4 linked regions of the Arabidopsis thaliana genome follow. The protein of the gene in region 4 purifies or fractionates together with the protein of the main gene of each other region. This does not show direct contact. Each region holds a gene or a part of one and is shown on either strand. Other genes may lie near its edges. The genes, in order: AT5G15400, Fes1C, SAE1B and SAE2.

Region 1 (7,863 bases), on a different chromosome or scaffold from region 4:
AATTTTGAAACCGTTGTCTTATTCTCTCGCTGTTTTGCGTGTTATAGGCTTCGAATGACGCCTATAAAAACTCTTTCGAACTCTTTTTTTGGTACGACGCTTGCTTCATGTACAACTCTTAAATTCTATAAAAGACATCCTTCTGTCGAACGTATTGCCTTTTCAATCGAGTGAGTGGTGTTGATTTCACCATTCTTCTGCATCGACCTCACGCCATCAAAGATTAAGTTAGAAATTTCGCCTTTCAAGAATTGGTCACTCATAACTCTTATGCCAACTAGTAATCCATGAACAAACGTCGAAATGCATAGAAACTCGTGAACACATCGAACTTATGATAGAAACAGTTCTAGACATGATATTTATAAGTTTTTTTCCCGTGGCATCAAATAAGTGGAAAGCAAGCCCTAAAATAGATAGATAAATCCTAATAGAAAAGAAAGCCTAGCAAAAGTAAAAAAAAAAAGTCCTGAATAATTGTTATTATTTTGTTACTTTTGGAACACATAATTAATCAATTAACATATCACTGTTTGTAGTCTGTATCCTTTCCTTGTTGCTGCTATCTTCTCCACTTGTCCGTTTCTTAGACTGATGCGACTTCACAAACTCATCGATTTTCGCCTTCAACTCGATGTCCGGTATCAACATATCCGATGTCAAATGTGCTCGGTTAAATGGATCATGCTGCAGCAAAAGTAAGAGGATCATATACAAAGCCAAAATCTTCAGAGAAAGAGAGATGTGACTGATCAGTGATCATCATTGTGTTAGATAAGCTTACATTGTCGCTGAGAAGATGACGTTGAATGATGGGACGATCAACTGTGATTCTTGAGCTTGGAAGTATTACTGGATCTCTCATTAGCGTGTACTGCCAAAAAAGAAAAGGAAAAGAAAAAAACAAGAACAGACATTAGTGCATGGTAATAAGACAAGATTTAGGTTTAAATTAGTGTTTCTTTCAACAGATAAAGACCTGAATTGGGTCAAGGAACTCGTCTGGTATTTCCCCAAGTGCAGCTTCAGCATCCAGAGCTTCAGAAGCAGCAGCTTTGGCTTTTGTGCCTAACTCCATAAACTCTTGAATGATTCTTCCCTCTTCACCTATTCTCCTAAGCACATCTGCTCCTGCATTGAATAGCTGCAAAAACGGGCACTTGTTTAGTTCAGTAGAGACGCATCTATTATTATGAAAGAGGATTTGGTTTAGAAAGAAGGATCTGACCTGTTCATTATATGATCGGCCATCACTGGAGATGGCACCAGGGAATATGTTTACTGTGTCTCCTCTTGCGAGATTAACATATATGCGAACGATCTTCAAAGTTCACAATCATATCAGTCAGTTTTTTCTCACATACTTTGATCAGGAGAATTGAGTAATTGTAATCACTACTAACCTGTTTAAGTAACTGTTTTGGACGGAATTCATATTTCTCAGGATCTTTCAGGCTTAAAGATTTACGCTGTGGACCCACGAGTTGTAGCAAGAAGTAGTTAAGCATGTTGGCAACCCTCTCAACCTAAATAAGTGCAAACAAACAAAGAAACTCATCAGTTGGGTAATCATAGGGCAGGTTATCATTTCAGGAATATGGTCAGGTACCATCTCAGGGAGTAGGAAAGGGGCAGTGATCTCCTCGGATGTAAATGCAAGCATAGTCACATCTTCATTTGCCAGCTTCATGTCGATTCTAACAATCTGCAAAGAAAATCAAAGTTCTTTATGGGATCGGGATTCGAGTACGAAACAAGATATAAGAAGTGATAATCCAACTAACATTCTCCTGCGAATGGAAGAGTCTTGTTCTCTCCTGTCTCTCTTGAGTTGGTCTCTGCTCCCACTCTGCAGTATTTGACATGTCTGCCTCGATTTGTTTAATCTCGAGAATTTTGTTTAGACTTTCATCCAGAAGATAGATGCTATCATTGACTAAGAAGTTTAAGAAGTTCAAGTACACGCCCTTCTCTTCGTCTTTTGCAATCTGTAACACATCAAATTTGGAAAAACATTGGAACATGATAGTTGAAGTTCAAAGTCATGGCAAGCTCACTAAGAATTTACCCGTCTCCATGCATTTCGGTGACTAGGCACCTGCCAGAGATACTCTAAAAGCTCGGCAATGTTGTGGCGAATATTGAACTTGTCATAGAACTGCATTTGGATAACTAGATTTCAGTTCCAATAAAAGCAAGAACAAATGGCTATTCTGGCTTCCAGAGCTAACATATTCTCAAGTACAATGCAATAGAGAGAAGTTCATTACTCCAGGAATATTATAGCCACTAAACAAAATCTCTTGCAATCACCTGAGTGTGTGAACCCGTGAACTCAATGTCAACATATAGTTTCAGTAAATTCCTGACAAGATACTCGAGCGATAACTGATGTCCCTCAAAGAGAGTAGATGTAGCAGAAGAAGAACTACTGCAGGAAAAAAAAAAAATTAGAATGGTGGACCACGTTACTGCAGAACTTGTTGCATTAGCAACACAAATTGACAAATGTACAGCTTTCTTTCATGGGAAGAAAAACACCTTGAACGAGGCATCCAGCAGTTCAGAACTTCAACCATCTTTGCTCTGAGATACGGGTTTCTAACATATTCAGGACTTGCCATGAACATAATTATGAAGTTCATAAAGTCGTCCTTAAGAAAAGAGAACAACCATCATCAGTGCAAATACAAAAAGAGAATTTCTACAGACTGATGAGAGCAAACTAAGCATACCAGCGGCACCCCGTCCAAAGCTTTGGGAATTCTTGAAGCGAATATCAGCAACTCCATTGCATCTTCAACAAAATGCTCAGGCATACAGGAGAATTCCATAGGGCAAGTTGACGGTAGAGGCATCTTAAAGCCACCGACTAGTCCAACTAACCAAACAACCATTAGGCGATAGAAAGACAGAGCTCGCTGAATAAAATCTCCATCCTTCAATACAGTATAGAGATAAGGCAGCTATTACTATCATGTTACCGGTCCAGAGGAAAAGCCGAAGATGTTATCAGAGCAGAGAATATGATTACAAACCCTCAATATTTGGGCCTCATGGCAAAGCTTTTCCTGCGAAGACAGCTCTAGTTCTTTTTCCATTCGGGATATATCAAGTTCCAACTGTGGAGAAGGTGCTTGATCTCTCATGGCTTTTAGCGTTGCAAGATTATCTTCACCTCTCGAGATGTCCTACGTCATGCGGAAAAGAAAAAGTGAAGAACCATACAATAACAATCTTCTGCAAATTCAGGAATCAATGACACTTTCACAATGTAAACATGTGACTAAGTTCAAGTTTTTGCTATAGTCCCTTCTCGTTTTAACTAACAAACGCCTTAATAAGACAATATGTAAGGAACCAAATCAAATAAGAGCTTTCTGCAAGATAATTTATCACAAGTCGTTTTTTTTTCCAAAAAATCTTCAATATTTCCAGGACGGGAAAACTGTGATGATGATTACCTGAGCAAGATGTTTAAAGTCAGAGAGTGCTTTTAGGAGACCCAAATTGAGGACCCTAGCAGTCATAAAGAAGCATTCACAAATGAAAGTGTATTTAGTTGCTGACTTTGCATTTTGCCCAGAAGCATTACTACTAGAACTTGTGGCTTCTTTGGATTGTAACAAGCGACTTTCGTTCCCATTTTCTCGCCCAGCATCATTTGCGTTTGCCATAGCATCTTTGCCAATCCACTCAGTAACTTCTTCGGATGATGCATGGAGAGCGGTCAAGTCGCTGGTGTGGATCATAAATAATATTGCTCATCATGAAACTATTAAAATCAGTGAGGAAATACAAGTAGAATCATCTTGAGGACCATACCTTAATTTTAAGCGATGGCCACAGAATGCGTATTTTGGATCAATCTTATCCCTTTTCGTTAAATGTGGGTCTAAAAATGGTTCACAGAGCCGGAGCATTACTGCACTAAGGTTAACAAACATGCCTGAGCTAGCACAAGAGACTGGATCAACCTGTCATACAAGATAAACATATTACAGAATGCTGATTTGAGCAAAAAAGACAAATACCAACTTGATAAAACCGAGAGGAGACAATAGCAATTCATGAATAAAGATCCGAAGTATATATGCATCTTATAAACGGATGATTACCTGTATATGGGCTCTAGACGCATTTGCATTGATCACCTCTGCAAGAAACTGTAGAACACGCTCACGGGTATCAGTACTTTTAAGTAAAATCATCAATACATCATGCAGCCCGCTGTACAAAATGTTCATGAAATTTTTAATCGTGGAGAAGGATGATAATAAATCTGCGGGACGACGTTCCGATGCTTCAGAGAAACACTGCTGCCTGATATTCACAAAAACAATAGACATATATCAGCATTTTCATAACAGGTAAAGTATATCCTCTGAGGTGGATCAGGAAAACTCTTATGTTCGCACAATTAAGCCTTGTCAAATACTAAATGGACAATCAAGATTCTTCAGTACAGACCAGAAAAAATGCTCAAAATAATGGATTTCATCCACAATATTCTAACTTAACATAGTGCTTACTAATATTTCTGTTGGTTTCGCCTCTACTGATCATCTAACTATGCTAAATTTATATAATCATGCTTAAAATATGTATACAACCTAACAGTGGCATCATATATAAGCCAAATATATCTGCTTTTTTCCTTTTTTGATCAAGTCTCTCTACTATGAGTAAAAGCTAATCAATAATTCTTACTATCCAAACTTTCTCAATAAGAAAAGAGCCCCAAAGACTACATGATTCTCAGTAATAGAAACCCATAAATAAGTTGGAACTCACCCAACATCAGGTTGACTCTTGAATAGTGTATTATCTGGCAGCGCACTAATATGGAAGAAAGGCCCAAGAATGCTAGTCAACTCCATTGCTCGGCCGTTCATATAGGCACCCCGTGGAACCCACCACTCATGACTAACCAGAGATTTAGCTCCTACTGGTAAGCTAACAAGATACTTGAGTGCCCTCAGTGGTGGCTGGAAATCTCCAAGCACTGATACATTTATAACCGTAGACCTCAAATCCTCATACAGCTCCTTTAGAATCGAGTCCAAGCTATCAAAATCCGAGTCTTTGAAAAACTCATCCAAAAACCCAGGAGGAGCTTGAACCCCACTGCTACTAGCTCCAAACATATCCAACGAACCAGAACCAACCTCAGCAAAGATCAACGGAAGAACCGGAGAGACATTCCTCTTCTTCAACCTATTATCCAATCCACCACTAGGTTTATCCGAGTTCCCAAACATGTCAGGATTCCCCAAGTGAATCCTACAGTAAGAAACAGCAAGCTTCTTCGCTTGTTTAGTGACAATCTCCATCTCCGATCTCAGATTCTTATCCTTCATCGACTGGATTTTCTTCGATTCGTCGTAAGCACGACGGTGGCAACCGATTAAATACGGGAAAGGCGGTTCGGCGTCGGAAAAGTCGCCGGAGAGACGATCTATGAGAACTCTCTCCATCAAATCACGAGAAAGCAAAAGCTCTTTACCTTCGCTGAGAATCTCAGCGGCCGTCATCTCCAAGTAAACAATACGAGGATCGGAATCAGTTGATTCCGTTAGGGTTACATAAAATATCTTCCGGAGGATTATATCCTCAATTTCAGCCGGCGATCTTTGAGGTTTGCTCGTCGCCATTGATTTTACGAATCAAATCAAACACTCGAAACTCGATTTGAGAGATAAATATAAGAATTTTTTTTCTTAAACTTGTATTACCGATGAATCAAAAGCGAAAGAGTTTGGACTTAGCAATTTAAAGTATAATTAAATTTAGAAAAACTAAAATTCACGAAAGAAGAGAGAAACCATGGCGAGAGATTTGGAAGAACTTTCTGGGAGTAGGTTTTTGTTTATGAACTCTTTTGGAGTCTCTGAACGAGCTTTAGCAAGTCCTGAGCTTGGACAAAAAGTCTATATAGGATATATGCAAACGTCGTACTTACTAACGACGTCGTTTATACTTATTAAGACAATTACTTTTACTGCTAATAAAAAATAAAAAATAAAAAATTACCAAGATAAACTCCTCCAAGATTTTGTTGCTCAAAAAATCTACTTTGAACTTAACCGTAAGAGGTTGAAGTATCATTCCAAGAAAGATTTTTTAAAGAAGTAAAGGTAAACAATTGAGGAGGAACAATGAACACACAATTATTTGGACCGATATAAAATTGGAACTTTTTATTATTATTCGAGATGATCATGCGGTCGAATGGACATGAACATAGCTGCATACTGAAGTAACCGGCGTTCACTGTTACCTTCAATGCTATTCTCCGACACAGGACTCATCGAACCGCCGATGTTTTCACCACGGGTTCTTTTCCTACGCCGGCGCCACGCCATCTGAATATTTACCGCTGCCCACGTCCTCCAGTTTGAGGAATAGTATCTTGCGGTCCGCTTAAGCCGCTCGTTCGCGAATTTATAACGGAAATGATCGGTAATGTACCTAAGATCTTCGGATCCGAGGGAGAATGCCTCGATGTTTTCTAGGCAGACAAATGTTGCTGAGGAAGGGGGAAGACGGTCCAGAAACGGGCGACGTAGGCACCATGAGAGTAGCTCGTCGCCCAAGTAACCGCCTGGTTCTAGTGTACTAGTGGCTAGGACGCCTTTGCTTAGGCTCTGTATACGTTTGACTCGTCCACGCATGATGAATATCATTCTCTGTACAGGATCTCCTTCACGGATGATCTGTGACAATCAACAAAATCGAAGAACCTCAGATTTTACTCTTCAAGTAAACTCTTAAACCGAAACCGAAGCAAAATATTGGAAATATAAATTTTTAGAAATGATGGGATGAGTACCTTTTCGTCTTTAGAGAAGACTCGAGGCTTAGCCCGATCGCAAATGTTGTCGAGGATCAAGTCGTCCATGCCCCTGAACAATGGCACCTGAGAAAGATCAAACATGTCAGAGACTTAACACTTACTGCTTTCACAAGTCTTAACAAGATTGTATAAAGTCTGCTTCCTAGTACCTTGTTAATGAGATCAAAGCAAAGATATCGTTTGATATCTCTTCGAAGACCCGGAGGCAAATCATGTATAAGTTCTAGCTCGTCTTCACCACCCAAGGCATTCCATCTCTGCCGCTCAAATCGCCTAACCCTCTGTCTTAACCGGGAAGGTAACTGCCTACGTTTCATCCACCATTCCATATCCCTACACCGTATCTGCATTTTCCTTTTTTTCGCCATTACCGCATGCAAAAACACCTTCAAAATATTGTAAAGTAAAAAGCTTTTTAAAATCTTACATTCCATGAAAACACAATATCATAGAAAAGACATATTCTTGCATAGTTTACCTGAATGTTTCCTATCAACAGCGTGAAAAGTAACAAGCCACTTAGAACCATAACTATACTGAAAATAACCTCGAGCCAGTTGCTTGTGGGCTCAAGATCATTCGCAAATGTGCTGTAAAACGCGACCCCCAAAACAGATTCAGTATGTCAATCAGAGAATTTTTTTATATCCAAGATGTAAACCTTAAGCTCAGAAACAAAGCAATTACCTGAGAGTCATTAGGCCCCAGAAGATGGGGTAAAGGATCTTAACCGCAAGAGAGTTGCTGGAGATGACTGGAAGTGCCCAACGGTAGATACCATATCGGAATGGTCCGTTAGAGTCTAAGCACATAGGCTTATTGACCACACTGGTAAGGTTTCCAGATAAGCATGGATATCCAACTGTGCTTGTCGGTGACACAAATTGGTAACAGACCTCTTCTTTGCAAGCCAGACTCAGATTGCAGTTCCCGGTTCTCATACATTGTTGTCTTATGCAAGAAGCAACACGCTGTATTGCGAGAACATACCAACATCCCCCAGCAAC
Region 2 (4,129 bases), on a different chromosome or scaffold from region 4:
TAAAGAATAATTTCTTCAGATCTCTTACAAAAACAGAGCACTTAAAAAGAAAATGATTTACCGATAACTTCGAGGCCACGGAACGGGAACGTCTTCGGATCTGTTACGAGATAAAGGAGTTGAGGGAACGGAGCTCTCTGTTTGGCTTTCTTCATCTTCCTCATCGAACGTGTGATACAAATCTTCCCTTTCTTGATCGAATGTCTCGTTTTGCTTCATCTACTTTGTTTGTATTCTTCTACTGTGCTCTGTTTCAAAAACCAACAAAAGGTCTAAAAAGAAGAAGAAGAAGATTGAGAAGAAGCAACTAGGGGACGCAACGAAACGTGTTCTGTTTTCAAGTTCTAAATTATTGTCACGTTTCTTTATATTCTTTAATTAGCAGTCTCCTTACCTATGATGATGTCTCCCTGAATTTGTTTTTCCCCATAATTTAAATGTATTAATGAACAAATTCACGATTTTCCCATTATTCCACCAATAAGATAAATTTAATAATGTCCCATTATCCTATCACTACTAAATCTAAGAAACTTCAAGAACAATTCAAAGAATCTTCTACTCTGACGCGTAAGGTTCATTTACAAAAAATTTAGTTTTTATACAATAATACTATTTGCTTGAAAAAATATAAAAACGTTTCTGGCGAGGTTATTTATAAAACACAGAAATAGACACGTAATGAAGATTAGTTGATATGCATGTGATGTAAGAAGCCAATGACAGTTGGGTCATTAATTGGCCATTAAATGTTCATCTCTAATTACTTATGCAGCAGTTAAATTTATTTTTTGTTCGTTTTATTTTGGTAGCTGAGCACCTTCGTCTATAACTGCTTAAAAACTTACAATAATACTCAGACAATTTCTTACAGAACAAGAAAGCAAAGAAACTTACACATAAAAAAGCAATTGTATATATATATATATATATATATATCCACCCATCTCCAAGCAACCATTGATCATTCCAAGCTATCTACTTTTGCAGAGGTATATTGTAGAGAAGAAGAGGAATGAGAAATGGAGCTTTTTACATATATATGAAGAAGACTTATGATTTATCAATCTGGTTAAGCTTTCCGAGTCCATTGCAGTTAGCACAAACGATCTGAGGAAGATCCTTCCGTGCGGCGTTGGCTCTCAGAGTCACTCCTCCTTTCCTCACAAATCCTGCTCCGTCACATTCCGGACACCTAAACCACACACATTTCAGAGCTTAAACTCACAATGTACAATCTCTGATTCAGTTTACTACATCGGCTAAGAGTTTATGTACGTTTTCAAAATCCATAACAGAGGATTTAGTCCGGTTAAGATAATTCGAATGTTGAACCGGACAATAAACTATGATAATCTGCAATTGATCAGTCAAAATTTGGTTTAACGAGCATTAAAACCGGTTTAAGTCACAAGGTAAAAAGATGAGAGTGGTTTACGTGTCTTTGCGTTTGAAGAGGATCGGGAATGCAGTTCCGACGAGTGCAACGGCGATGGCTCCGCCGATTAAGTAGATTGTTCCGTCAGAAGAGACATCACCGACGGCGGCGACAACTACGGAGGAAGAAGATCTCTTGTTTTTGGGAAGAATCACATTGTTCGGTGATGGTGATCCCCACGAAGAAGAATGTTTCAGGAAGTTGGTTGATGACACGAACGTCGTCTGCAATGCCGGTGCGATCGTCATAATTTAGGGTTTTAAGTGACTGATTTCGATTTGGGGGAAGTAATAAGAAGAAGTGATTTGATTTTTATGGAAAGGTTTTGAATTTGGATTTGCTTCGTGACGTGTCACTCTCTCGAAGTGGATAACGTTTTCACTTGGGATTTTTGGGGTTCTTCAGTTTTCTTTTGTGTGTGGATAAGGTAGGCCCCTTCAAGATATTTCGAGTTAACAATTGGGCCTGTTAAGCCCATTATTAAGTTAGCGTGAACATAAGGCCCAAACTATTTGTCATTGTCTCTGACTCTCTGACCTTCGCAGAGTCTTTCTCTTCTTCCGTTGCTTCAATGGCGAAAGACGGACCTAACTGGGACGGTCTGCTTAAGTGGAGTCTCTCTCACTCCGATGGTACTCGACCTACTTGCCAATTAAGGTACGAAGTTTCTTTGTAATTTCAGGTTTTGTTGGTCACTTAGTGGAGCTTATGTTGTTTGTTGGGTTGTTTTAGAAATTTGCGTGGTTCTGCGTCAGTTTCTTATGAGGAATGAATCATGTAGTGGAATTTGACTATTTGATTTGGTATTGTTTGGTAGATGGTTTTTGATGATATGAAATTGTTTGGTTAGACAGTGAGGAGGATCGAAAATGGTTTGCAGAAGCTATGCAATCACAAACGGTAGATGTAGTCAAGCGGTTGAAGGAGATTACACAGGTATTGCAGACACCTCAACAAGTTTTGGAGGCTCATGAAGTGACCCCTCAAGATATTGAAGGTTCAATATGGAGTTCACTATTGTTTTCTTAGCTATTTTCTCTCTTGTTGGTTACTAAGATTTTGAGTTATGATGATTTGGTAGGTTTGTTGGATGAGTTGCAGGAACATGTTGAATCGATTGATATGGCTAATGGTGAGTCTTTTCATACTTTGACCTTGTAACTTTGTTCTATATCTGTCTTTTGATTGCTGGGCTTAACTTGTACTTCTTTGAATGTATGGGCAGATCTTCATTCCGTTGGAGGCTTGGTACCTCTTCTTGGCTACCTCAAAAACTCCAATGCTAATATCCGGGCTAAGTCTGCAGATGTTGTAAGCACAATAGTTGAGAACAATCCTCGGAGTCAAGAATCAGTTATGGAAGCCAATGGTTTAGAGTCCTTGCTTTTAAGGTTTACTTCAGACACCGATATGCATTCTCGAACACAGGCTCTCGGTGCAATATCATGTAAGCTGCTCTGAGTTCTATCCTATATACTTAGATGGTCGAATGCCTTTTTCAAAAACAAAAATGTCTATCGTAAATCTGATGAATGTATTGTGGTAAATTTGGGGTACAGCTTTGATTCGCAATAATAAACCTGGGATCACAGGTTTCCGGATTGCAAATGGTTACTCTGGTTTAAAAGATGCTTTGGAAACTGATAGTGTGAGATTTCAAAGGTAATAATACTCTTCACTTTTCTTCATGCTTGGATTCCTCTGAACTTTGAGAGAACACAAAGTTGTAACCTTTGTTCTGCTGTTGTCTAACTTTCAAAACTTTTGTCATTACTTTCTCATTCTTCAGGAAAGCTTTAAACTTGTTGCATTATCTTCTACAAGAGAATGACTCAGACTCCGATATTGCTATAGAATTCGGGCTTCACCATTTGATGATGCACCTCGTGTCTAGCTTCGATGCTGATGTAAGAGAAGCTGCTCTTCGAGGATTGCTTGAGCTCGTGAAAGCTAGAAAAGACTGTAGTACTTGTGGTTCTAGCATAGTGAAAGGCGATGAGAGACTCAGACAGATTCTAAAAGATCGGATCAAAGCAATCAGCCGGGTCAAAGCAATGAGCTTGTTTATGTCACAAGAAGATCTATCAGCCGCTAAAGAGGAGAGGCAGCTCTTAGATTCACTATGGACCACAATCTTCAACGAACCTTCTTCTCTTTAGAGACAAAGATACAAAGAGACAAAACCGTCTGTGCTTCCTTATATCATGAGTAAGCACTAAAACCGTCTTTTATGTCTTTGGACCCACCAGCTAAAGCTTGTGTCTTTAGAACACTAGTTAAAAGGATGGTAACCACTGTATAATGACCAAATTTTGATTCTATTTTGAGTTCAAATTTTCTCAGTTTCTCATTCAATGACCTAAAAACAGACCGTACAAGTACCAAATCAAGCTACTGCATGATAAACATAACATAAAAATCAGAAGCCTCTCACTTTGGAGGACAGAAAGTGATAACATAACGAGAAGCTCTACACTTATTCAAACTACTAGAATCATCAAACGCATAACTATAAGCTTTAGGACAAATCGCTTTAAACAGATTCGCGAACAGAGTCGGCTTACACGCCTGAGGATTCGCATATTCACCGGTGCAACAATACTTAGCCGATTGCATCGCCAAGCAAGCACTTTTACAACCAACCACTTTCCCATCTCTCTTAACTTCCAAAGCTGATGGACAACAAATGTT
Region 3 (4,498 bases), on a different chromosome or scaffold from region 4:
ATACTCATACGCTAGGTGCTACACCATTAAATCAACTTCAAATTGCTTTTGTTTTTTACCAAATAACTAACCAATTTATAAAAAATAGACCAAGCTTTTCTAGGATTACAAACAAACTAACCTCGCCAATTCCTGAGGAAGATCCGGTGATGATGACGACTTTTCCGTTGACTTTCTCGGACTCTTTGCATCCCCTTATGAACTGGAGGAGCTTGAAGAATATTGAAAATGGCATGAACACTAAAAGAAACGAAACCGTGACAATAGGAAGAAGGATGTTAAAGATCTTGTTGTTTAAATCCATATCCTTGACTTTGTGATTCTGCTTCACCAGAGGCTAAGCTACAATTTATATACTCTTGAGCTTTCTTCTGTTCAGATGTCACTGTCATAGACTTTAGTATTTAAGATTAAGGATAAGAGAATCTCCAAATCATTATTTGGTATCTTTTGTGTTTGTCCTCATCCAACTTATGTTTTTATCAAATATTTTTCTCAACTTGTGGAGAAGTTTCCACTTTCATCTCTATTGGTTTGAAACCTCCCTCAACAACAAATAATGTCACTAAGCAATGAACCATAACAAAACTCACTATAGACTGTCAAATTTTGCTGTTTGTTATATTATAAAGATGCCACTCAAAGAGCCAGAAACCGAAATCGAAAATTTCCGGACAAAATAGAACACCTTCACATAGATAGGAGTGTGTAAATTGATGGATTAAAGTAAATAGTGGGTTACAGATTGTCTTTAGGAGCGAACCAAGTTAGTAGATACAAAAGACAAGGAGCCAAGTTCTAAGTACTCTAAAGTCTAATTTCCAATACAATCTTCAACAAGGAACTAATTACTAAGAGCAGCGTTTCACAGCACCTTTCATGTTTGGAAGTTAAAGCTTGTGGGATAGGTCCTCGATTACACCTTTCCCATCCTCTGCATCAAAGTAGAAGAAGTTCTTCAACGGCTCTCCTTTGCCTGATATAACTTTTATCACCTCCTGTACGTACAAATACAACTTTTTTGAGTCACATTACTCTGCTAAGTGCTTAATCTAGATAACTAACAAAGTCCTAGAGAAGCGAGATAGAGAACTGTACCTGTCCTAGAATCCCTCCAATGATGGCACAAGCCGGTGGGAATTCTGTGTTATTAGATACGAGTCTCTCCAAGAGGATATCTGGAATATGATTCTCGCTGACCGACTGTTGCAACATTCGGATTCAAAGTGAGTGACAAAGTTTGTTATTTGTCGTTATTATTGTAGAGCTTACAAATAAAGGTTAAAGAAACTTACATTTCCTTCACATAGTTCCTTTTTGAGTTTCAAAACTCTTGGGAGATCAGACAGCGAACATTCCCCAGGTTTACGTCCTTCAGTTTCCTCAAATAGTTCTATCACTGCAAGAATATCACAAAACCGGATTAGTTACGTAGGAAGAAACCAAGCTTTCAAAAGGTTAGCTGTTGTTGTTAGCCAGACCTCTCATTGCAAAGTAGAGCTTTGCTGTTCTCCTTGGCATCGGTTTCCACGGTACTGAAACTGCCTCCTGGAGAAATAAGACCAGTTAATAGATTGAATTTCTATTACTTTTCATGCGAAAGTATGTTCCAGGAAAGTAAGAAGTTAAGTTTGTTGTACCTCAAAACTTGGAAATGTTAGTTCACATTCCACTGTTTCATCAAGCTTTTTCTATGAAGCCAAAATTGACAATAGAGAAAGAAAGTTAACACATTATATGCCAAAAGAAAGGCATGTGATATACAACCGTCAAAAGAAAAAAACGAGATGAGTACCTTTGTGTACTTATAATTCTGAAGGTCGACAAATATTTCGCCACATGAGCCTCTACAATCAACTGTATAGAACGCTACATCTTTTGCTAGGTTCCTACACTTTTCATTAACTGCTTTCTGCATAACAAAGCACATTATTTCAAGTGATCAATCTACATGGCAACAAAAGACAAAAACAACTGGAACAACTAAAAGAAGGAGGTATCAACAGTACCTTAGTAGCACGAGAACTGTAGCCGATAACCACAACATCAAACTTCTCGAAAAAATCAACACCAAGTGTTGACAAATCACCTGAAATTGAAGACATAGACTCGATGTTACTAAAATCATTTGTTTCTACTAAAATTAGAGAGAAATGAAGAAAGGAGGAGTAACCTTTCTCTATTGAAACATGAACCATAGGGTTAAAATCCTTAAGTGAATCACAACAAATCTCAGCTACGGTTTTGCCTACATAAGCATTTTCATCAGGAAGAATCAAGAAGTTTGCGTTGAAGACTTCCGTTGTAACCAATCGATCATCCAACAGAGTCACACTACCTACTCCTGCCAACACAATGTTCTTACAAAACTGCAACACCAAATGGAGGAAACCAAGTAAGATGCCAACACTCACTCTACTGCAACATAGCTAATAGAGAGTCACAAAATAAAGTAAGAGGTACCTCAGCAACAGTGCCCTTAATTCCAGATACCAAAACATGAGATTTACTCAATCTGCAAGCAAAAACACAAAACAAAATTCAGAGAAGCCCTAATCAAAATTTCAACAGCTAAATTAGCTTAAAACCCAGAAAGAGATAAACTTTCACCGAGTATAGCCCAACAAGAAGAGTTTATTAGTACTCAAACGGAAAATCAATAACTTGTTGTTGCTTGAAGCCATAGAAGTTAGATTCAATGTGAAGTACCTTCTTTGAGCACCAGCTCCCCATACCCTAATTTGACGGTCATAAAGAGCAGTTTCCTGCTCGGTGAGCTCATCTCCGTCCATTCTCGTAGTGAAACCCTAGAACCGACCTCGAAGAGATGATCAAACCCGTCACGAATCTACTACAAGAGGTTTTCGGTGACTCACTCACTGAGTTTGAGATTTTTTGTTAACCGGAAAATTGCTTTCTTTTTATTTATTCAAATTACATGGTTTGTTTTGGTTTGGTCCGGTTCGTCAACTACAAATTTTTAAATTCAAAACAACTGTGCATTCAATAAATAACCAATTTGTTATTTTTTAGGACAATTTATGGGCCGAAACAAATGAAACATGGGCTTTGGACCCCAAATCTTTTAAATCCATCTGCAAAACTTTTAAAGACATGGAAGACTTTTATACGATTCTCCCTGATAATTGACAACTTGTGTGACCCGTAACTATGAAAGTCAAAGAAAATAACGCGTATCGGTGGAAAGAGAGAAGAAAAAAAACAGAAGAAGATGTTGTGTAATGCGAAGCACAACATTCACATGCTATGTTTTTTGCCGTAAACAACTAAGCATCCTATACCTCTTTCTTTAGTATCACTTTCCAATTTATTGTTTCATTTTCATCATCATCATAGTTATAAAAAAGAAAAAACCACATCTATTTTATATCACAATTTGAAAACTAATATATTTTGGATAAGGGTCAGTAAAAAGATACAAGATTTATGAGTAATTTGAAATTTTCAAAAGTATACTCTGTTCATTCATAAAAATCGGATGCTCAGAGTTCAGAATTGATGAATGGCAGAGAAAAATATAAACAAAGAAAAGTTGAAAAAGTAAGCAAAAGAACAATCAACAACAGCTGTCACTTTCCTCCATTCTTTTCTTCACTTTTTCTTACTCAAAGTTTTTAAAAAATGATATCAATAAAACCCTAAATCAGGAAAGTAAAGTTACAATTAAAGTAAGTAAATCATTTCTTAACTTAGTAATAGCTATTATCATCAATTTCTCTCTCTCTTTCCTCTTTCTCTTATTTGCATTATTGAAGTAGCAGCCACACTTGTTGTCTCCACTTTCTCTTGCTAAACTCCATCATCTTCTCTTTCTTTTTTTTCACTTGTCCCATTTTTTTATATTTTCATCTTTCTCTTTTGGAGTTTCTTCTTCTACTGACTCTACTGGTAGGTGTATGGATTTGGTAAGATTTCTCAACCTTCAAACAACAAACTTTTCTTATTCTATAGTTTTTTTTAATGTAATAACATGTTTATAATCTTACTTTAATCTTTCATTTTTATTGCATTTTTTTAATTCTTGCTTGGAATTGAGTAGACAGAAAAAAAGTTTTTTGTTTTTTTTTTTGTTTTCCTTTCTTCCCATTTTGTGGGATCTGTTCTAGTTTCTATGTTTCTGCACTTCTCATTTCGTTTTTTCAGTACAATTAGTTTGCCTTTTTTGGGATTTTTTTTTTGTTTTTTTTTCAATATCAAAATAGATCATTTTGTTAGAGCTTCAACTACAATTTCAGAGTACTCTTTATAATTGTGTTTTTGCTTTTTGCTTATGCTTTTTTATTTTCCTTCATATGTATTGAAGTTGAAGTTTAATTGAGTTAAAGATTCATGGGTTTTATGTTTACTAGTTGTTTTTGCTGTTTGTTCTTAAATTTAGAGTACCAATATCAAAAAGGACAAATCTTGATATTGCTTTGATTGCTGTTGTGTATGTATGTGTTTTTATAGTGAGAGAAGAAAAAAAAGCACAATCTTT
Region 4 (5,981 bases):
TTTTTCTCAGGGTAAAGCTGAGGCTGAGGAGGTTGAGACTCCCAAGCCTGTGGCTGTCCCTGCTGCTGCGCCGACTTCACCTGCTGCCACCACTGCTGCAGCAAGTGAACGTCCAGTTTCTCAGACTGAAGAGAAGGATGACTCAACGGTGGACCAACACTCTGGAACCACCATGTTTACTCAGTTTGCTAGCCTTAACGGAAGATAATAAACTGATGAAGCATTTGCACCAAACCAAACGGTGTGAAGAGTTAGAAAAATGAAACATTGATCCTCTTGAGGTAATCGGATTTGTTGTATAATTTGTAAGGTAAATTTTTTTCTTTTTTTTTTATCTTGCTTTGTAACGGAAATGTATTCTACAGCGGTGTAATAGGTTATTGTTGATACTTAGTTTCAAAAAACAAATTTTCAAATAAACTGTATGTAAATCTTTTCATAATCAACCGATTCTTTAGTCTATTAATATTGAAAAAGTAGTTTGAGATTTCTTAAACAAAAAAAAACAAAAAAAAAAACAGAAAATTTGATAACTCGAAGAAATAAAGATACAAGGGAGCTCTTACAGTTAGTGAAAACATAACAGGAATCTCTGGAAAGCAAAAATTGCTTCCTTAAAATGAGTTCCTGAGCTCCTCATCCAAAGGATCCTGTCCTAGTAAATATTTAACAATCTGAGTAGTTTTCTTCTTCATCAAAGAATCCCTAAATCATACTTTGTAATTCTTGTGGCATAATTTCAGAAAGTAGAAAGTTAGATCGAAGTAAAAAGAAGCTAATAAATAAAGCAAGCATTTAGGGATCAGATCTTTCAAAAAAGGGGCCTATTCAACTCTTATCTTCTTTTTGCTCACCATCATGGGATTTTCAACCTCCATGATATCATCATCTTCACTCTCGACGTTCTCTGTTTCTTTCTTATGATTACTGGCCTCGGTCTCAGAGAGTCTTCTCTTCTTAGAAGCAGGCTCGGATCCTGAGGAACTCTCTGTAACATCAACTGGGTTCTCGTTGTTTGATGTTGATGCGCTCTCGCCATTGGTAGCTGGAGATGGTGTCCATCCAGAGAGTACCATTCCTTCAGGTTCTTTTTCCTCGTCAAATTCTTCCCTGTGACAGAACAGAATAAGTAAAGGATGCGTTAAACGTCTGCCAGTTTCAAACATGGTAAGGACTCTCCTAATAGTTACATTTGAGAATCCTAGGATGATGTCTAATGATAACCCATCTTGATTTCGTGATTCAGTGAAATGGAAGAGTTTAGGGAAAGTCGATGGTAATATAATCAGAAACCAAACTGAATTTAAAACAGGATTCAAAATTTCAGAAAAAAACCTGTGCTTGACATTTATCTTGCAAGATAGCTCTTGTTGAAGATCTTCGACTGTGAGAATGCTTCCGTTAAGAATGGGAGAAGGAAGTTCTGATAGATACTGAAAAAGATTACAAGCATGTGAGAAATTGCGATATCTAAACCTGTGTTTTAATTGCAAATGGTAGAACAATCAAGACCAAACCTTCTCAAGATTAGCGTTGTAGTTTGCAACCATAATATCATCAAGATCATCGCCAACTTCATACAGAAGCGAATTCCCGTGCATAATCAACGGTAGGTTCATTCCAAGCTTGGTTTTCACAATTTTATCAACTAGATCCCGTAGTTTTGATTTCCGAGTATTGATCTCGAGTACTAATGGGGTCTGTTGATAAAAACCACAAAGAAAATCAGATGACTGGTAATACAAGGAAGCTTATGAAAGAAGGCTAAACAACAATGATGTGTATACCTCGGAACAGACATAGCAAGCAGGATTAGGTTCATATGGCTCGATTGGCATAAGCAGCAGCTTTTTGCTTGGGTGTTCTAAGCAATATGTCATTCTAGAGAGAACAAAAATGATTTTTAAATAGATATCAAGAACGCTAAAACCTTATGAAACACAGACGATTTCAAAGTAACAAACCTGAACTTGTCCACATCCTTTTTCAGCACTTTGATTGCTTCAATGACAATTAAACCAGCAATAATGGCGTTGGTCGTAGCAACAGCATGAACAATGTTTCCAGCAATACCTTTCGCTTCAAAAAGGCTGTGCAAAGGAATTCCGAAAGACTCAGCACGGATATTTGCAGCAGCAGTAACAAATTCTACAGCTAACTGATCATCTTTGTCAAAAGTAAGGTGTCCTATTTCCTGTGGCAGCATATCGATAAAACCATGAATTAATCAGTGCACCGAAACTTATCTATAGACAAGGAGAGTTTACAAAAAGGACCACACAGACCTTCTTTCTCTTGGCGAAGAACAACTTCAATGCTTCTATGAACACAAGAGAATTCTGCGTTAGACCCCACAATTCCTGTGGATTCTTCAGGCCAAGCGATGGCATGGCAGAGACCATTAAATCACCATCAGTAACAGAACAATTCTGAGTGCTTCCATTTTGTTGAGTCAGACTTTCAGGCAAGACATCCTTACTGTATATAGGCCTTGGTCGTCTGCGATTTTTCCATGTCTCTTCATTGGACAAAGCCGCTTCAATGTTAGAACCAAACACATGATCATATATCTTCCTACCATACTGCTCAATATCTTCATCTTCTGAACGTTCAAATACATCTTCTGTTTCTTTGGATGAGCTTGCAGAATTGTTGGATCGCACATTAAGATCATTATCTTGATTCTTGTCGCCAAACAACTTTGCAAAGAGCAGGTCTTTTGCCCATACAATACAGTGCACAAACTGCAGAATCAATTCAAAATTCATCGGCACATCAAAAACAAGCTCTATGCTTAGGATAATACTATATAAGCCAAGATAGAATATAATTTCCCCAAGATTCACAAAAATTTGGAACAAACAAGACAGTGTTAATACCTTAGTTGGCGTGCTGGTTATTGTACACACAGGATAAGTCTTTGGAGCAGGTTTGGTTTGGCACTCATAACATTCTGTTTTTCCCTTTATATGCACAGTTACCTGATTTTTACAAGCAAGTATTGCAAAGTCAGATACGAGAGAAATGACAACAGTACACCATTCAAGCCTAACATTGTAGTGCATCTAACTCATAGAATAATGATAAGAGAAAGAAGAGCTGCAAGACCAAAAGGCAAGCAGAATAACCTGTCCAAGGAAGCCCGTTGTCCCACTTTCTACAAGAGGAACATCAGCTGCAAGACAAAGGCGATTCACATGACGCCTTGCGTCCAAGTTGTCCAGCCCATTCAGAACAACATCAAATTGCTTGAAAAAATCAACATCAAACTCGGGATTCTTCACATTTGCATGGTATGATCTTATATTAATGTTAGGCCTAAATCTCAAGACTGCATCTCTGGCAACCTGGTGATATGGTAAAAATATATTAACTCTTATGAACTGGCTTTCCTTGGACTTAGCTCAAGCAAAATTACCTTAGCCTTAGACTGCCCAACATGAGAACGACGGAATAGAAATTGCCTATTCAGGTTACTGACTTCAATAGTGTCCATGTCAATCTGTAACACAAGAGTTCAGTAACTTAATCACGGTTACAAACTAATCTTATAAGTCCCTGCTCTATTCATACAGAAATCCAGTAGGAGCACAGGTGAAATCCGATGGTTTCTGATACAAAACATCAATCATAAATCTACAAAATCCGAAAATTAAAACAGAAGCAATTCATGCACACCAAATTATAAATAGCCTAACTAGTCTTAGAAATTACACTAAACCTATTGGCGAAGACAGCTAAACAGAGAGTCCTCCTAGAGACATATGATTCCATCTTCCAAGTCAAACTTAACTTGATCTAAAAGCTCAAAGATGTTGAAATTACTCAAATCATCAATAACCCTAAATGCCAATCAAATCCAGTAGCACAATAGGAGATTTGAAATGCTTAAACTTTCGTCTGTGACCCAGAATCTCAATAGAGAAGAAGAAGAAATCACAAGTTAAGAATACTAAAAGTCACGAAAACAGAAAAAGTGGAAAGAAATTGAGAAACTTACAATATGAATGTCCTCGAATCCAGAAAGAGCAAGAGTCTTAAGTAACTCGCAACCAATCCCACCAGCTCCAACCATAAGCACTTTCGCGCCCTAAAACCAAACACAGGAGAATTGAAAAGACTTCAATTTGAAAACACCCCAATAAAAAGAAGCTTAAGTTCACCTTCAGAGCTTACTTTAATGGCGGATTGCTGTTGTTGCGTAGCCATGGCGGAGAAAGTGAAAAGACGGAGCAATACGTTAAACGACGATTCAGAAGCAGAAGAAGGAGAACTGGGGGATTAGAAAAATTAAAGCTTTTTAGGACTAATGAATTGAAATCGAAAGAAATTAGGGAACAGAGAAATAGTAGCGAATTTTGATTTTCTAGGGTTTATTGTGGAGGGATTTGGGAAATTTGGAAGAAAGAACAAAGGAGAGAAGAGGAAAAGAGACGTCTCTTGGAGAAAAAAGAGTCACGTGGGCTTTTTTGTGTGTAAACTTGTTAGTTTCCTCTTTCGAATATTTAGTGTAGTTGACTTTTTTAATTCAATTCGATTCGAGTCAAAACAAAATTTTGATTCGAGTGAATTTTTATTTTTTATGTAAACTTATGTTTGAAAAACATTAATTAAAAAGATATATATTTTTTTTCATATAAATGTCTTTACACCTTCTTGCTCAATTTAGTGATGGCTTTTAATTAGTAGTTTGATCGGACTCAAGCCTTTTAATTTTTTTCTTTTCAAATTTTATAAACTATCTCTACTGATGGATTTTTTTATATAGAGTTTATAGCTTACGTTAGGTTAAGTTCTTGATATTTGTTTAAACTATCTCAATCATTTGCTAAGAGTTAAAGCTTAATTCAATAAATCTAGACAATGACGTTTTGATAAAAACAAAACACGTTTGTTTTGTTGAATTTGTAGTTTATTTCAGTCACGACTTTTTGCTTGGTTGATGGAATGTATATTCAAGTAATGCTTTCTCTGGTTTGATGAATTCCTACAATGGATACTGAATGGAAGCATCGTACGTCTCTCATGGTGTAATGTTCTTTCTTCATTGTGTGTTGAATTCGGTGTGTTACCTCTTCTTCTCTGTCATGATACTTAGAGCTCTTTGCCTTGTGTTTTATCATGCCCATTGGGTTCTCTGGTCTTTAGTATTTCCTTTCTTCAATAGGTGTTTATGTAATTCCCTCGGGATGATACTTGTAATTGACTTTAGGGTTTAGTTTCACTAATTCATTGGTCGTTAGTCACATACGACTAATGTATGTGCTTGATTCTCCTTCTTTACCTTGATGCATTCTCTTGTGTTGATTACTCTAATAGCCCTAGTTAGCTCATTGATTGTTCAATTTAGTTTCCAATTTTGAATCATGTTATGCATTTTATCTCTTTGTTTTGTAGTCCTAATTACCTGTTATTGGCTTGCATTTTATCTCGTCTAATTGGGTTCTCCCATATTCAAGACCTTAGTGTTTATTGTCATTTCTTGAATGCACATTTATGTGACTCTTTGTGTTGATCTTGTAATTCGCTTTGGGGTGTAGTTTTACTAATTGATTGTTTGTTGCATTATATACACATAGGTGTAACCTAGATTATTAAATTACACTTCCTCATAAATAATATCCATTTCACTTGATATCATGTTGTGAAGTGATCAAAATGGATTTAGTAGGATTGGTGCTTGTGCACTCTCGACTTCTTTGTCTGTAAAGCCTAGTATCCATCTGAGTGTAACTAAAAAAGAATTCATTTATACCAAATATCGTTAGCTTAATTGGTAAAAACCCTAGGTGAAGCTTAGAGGTTGCCGGTTCGAGTGACGCTTGAGACTAAACTAATATTATATGCTGTGGTTTCAGATTTGGGAGGATTACGGACTTTGACCCAGAATCTCTGGTATTCAAAAAAAAAAAAAAATGATTTCATTTCATGAACCAAATACTACTAATGTCTCGGTGGTGTATACACCCAAACCAATATTC

Evidence for each region.
Region 1: the proteins of SAE2 (region 4) and AT5G15400 fractionate together in Arabidopsis thaliana (co-fractionation; one large-scale study listed by BioGRID). This does not show direct contact.
Region 2: the proteins of SAE2 (region 4) and Fes1C fractionate together in Arabidopsis thaliana (co-fractionation; one large-scale study listed by BioGRID). This does not show direct contact.
Region 3: the proteins of SAE2 (region 4) and SAE1B fractionate together in Arabidopsis thaliana (co-fractionation; one large-scale study listed by BioGRID). This does not show direct contact.

The regions. Positions count from the first base shown.
Region 1 is NC_003076.8:4,997,254-5,005,116, forward strand, and holds AT5G15400 (U-box domain-containing protein), read right to left. Parts: upstream 6,001-7,863; 5' UTR 5,655-6,000; coding exon 4,795-5,654; intron 4,324-4,794; coding exon 4,119-4,323; intron 3,978-4,118; coding exon 3,826-3,977; intron 3,739-3,825; coding exon 3,465-3,738; intron 3,192-3,464; coding exon 3,039-3,191; intron 2,940-3,038; coding exon 2,736-2,939; intron 2,655-2,735; coding exon 2,542-2,654; intron 2,432-2,541; coding exon 2,314-2,431; intron 2,159-2,313; coding exon 2,069-2,158; intron 1,989-2,068; coding exon 1,785-1,988; intron 1,706-1,784; coding exon 1,610-1,705; intron 1,527-1,609; coding exon 1,404-1,526; intron 1,322-1,403; coding exon 1,229-1,321; intron 1,145-1,228; coding exon 980-1,144; intron 875-979; coding exon 785-874; intron 688-784; coding exon 511-687; 3' UTR 236-510; downstream 1-235. Other genes in the region: AT5G15390 (tRNA/rRNA methyltransferase (SpoU) family protein), read left to right, coding at 1-2; DND1 (Cyclic nucleotide-regulated ion channel family protein), read right to left, coding at 6,207-6,716, 6,833-6,919, 7,006-7,242, 7,335-7,446, 7,544-7,863. UniProt on the Arabidopsis thaliana protein: Ubiquitin-protein ligase that may function as an E3 ligase in conjunction with specific E1 and E2 ligases. May also function as an E4 ligase mediating the assembly of polyubiquitin chain assembly on substrates monoubiquitinated by another E3 ubiquitin ligase.
Region 2 is NC_003076.8:423,949-428,077, reverse strand, and holds Fes1C (Fes1C), read left to right. Parts: upstream 1-1,699; 5' UTR 1,700-1,865; intron 1,866-1,961; exon of another isoform or gene 1,962-1,983; 5' UTR 1,984-2,009; coding exon 2,010-2,095; intron 2,096-2,288; exon of another isoform or gene 2,289-2,292; coding exon 2,293-2,435; intron 2,436-2,519; coding exon 2,520-2,570; intron 2,571-2,663; coding exon 2,664-2,885; intron 2,886-2,997; coding exon 2,998-3,100; intron 3,101-3,227; coding exon 3,228-3,597; downstream 3,598-4,129. Other genes in the region: AT5G02170 (Transmembrane amino acid transporter family protein), read right to left, coding at 62-219; AT5G02160 (uncharacterized protein), read right to left, coding at 1,054-1,195, 1,439-1,686; AT5G02140 (Pathogenesis-related thaumatin superfamily protein), read right to left, coding at 3,641-3,797, 3,873-4,129.
Region 3 is NC_003076.8:20,583,794-20,588,291, reverse strand, and holds SAE1B (SUMO-activating enzyme 1B), read right to left. Parts: upstream 2,944-4,498; 5' UTR 2,793-2,943; coding exon 2,710-2,792; intron 2,516-2,709; coding exon 2,464-2,515; intron 2,370-2,463; coding exon 2,174-2,369; intron 2,090-2,173; coding exon 2,010-2,089; intron 1,913-2,009; coding exon 1,796-1,912; intron 1,692-1,795; coding exon 1,641-1,691; intron 1,549-1,640; coding exon 1,482-1,548; intron 1,400-1,481; coding exon 1,296-1,399; intron 1,204-1,295; coding exon 1,099-1,203; intron 999-1,098; coding exon 891-998; 3' UTR 531-890; downstream 1-530. Other genes in the region: HSD4 (hydroxysteroid dehydrogenase 4), read right to left, coding at 1-18, 122-304. UniProt on the Arabidopsis thaliana protein: The dimeric enzyme acts as an E1 ligase for SUMO1 and SUMO2. It mediates ATP-dependent activation of SUMO proteins and formation of a thioester with a conserved cysteine residue on SAE2. Functionally redundant with its paralog SAE1A.
Region 4 is NC_003071.7:9,196,980-9,202,960, reverse strand, and holds SAE2 (SUMO-activating enzyme 2), read right to left. Parts: upstream 4,368-5,981; 5' UTR 4,210-4,367; coding exon 4,177-4,209; intron 4,091-4,176; coding exon 4,001-4,090; intron 3,503-4,000; coding exon 3,419-3,502; intron 3,348-3,418; coding exon 3,129-3,347; intron 2,982-3,128; coding exon 2,880-2,981; intron 2,745-2,879; coding exon 2,286-2,744; coding exon of another isoform or gene 2,277-2,285; intron 2,195-2,276; coding exon 1,965-2,194; intron 1,882-1,964; coding exon 1,788-1,881; intron 1,701-1,787; coding exon 1,518-1,700; intron 1,434-1,517; coding exon 825-1,433; 3' UTR 511-824; downstream 1-510. Other genes in the region: AT2G21480 (Malectin/receptor-like protein kinase family protein), read left to right, coding at 1-208.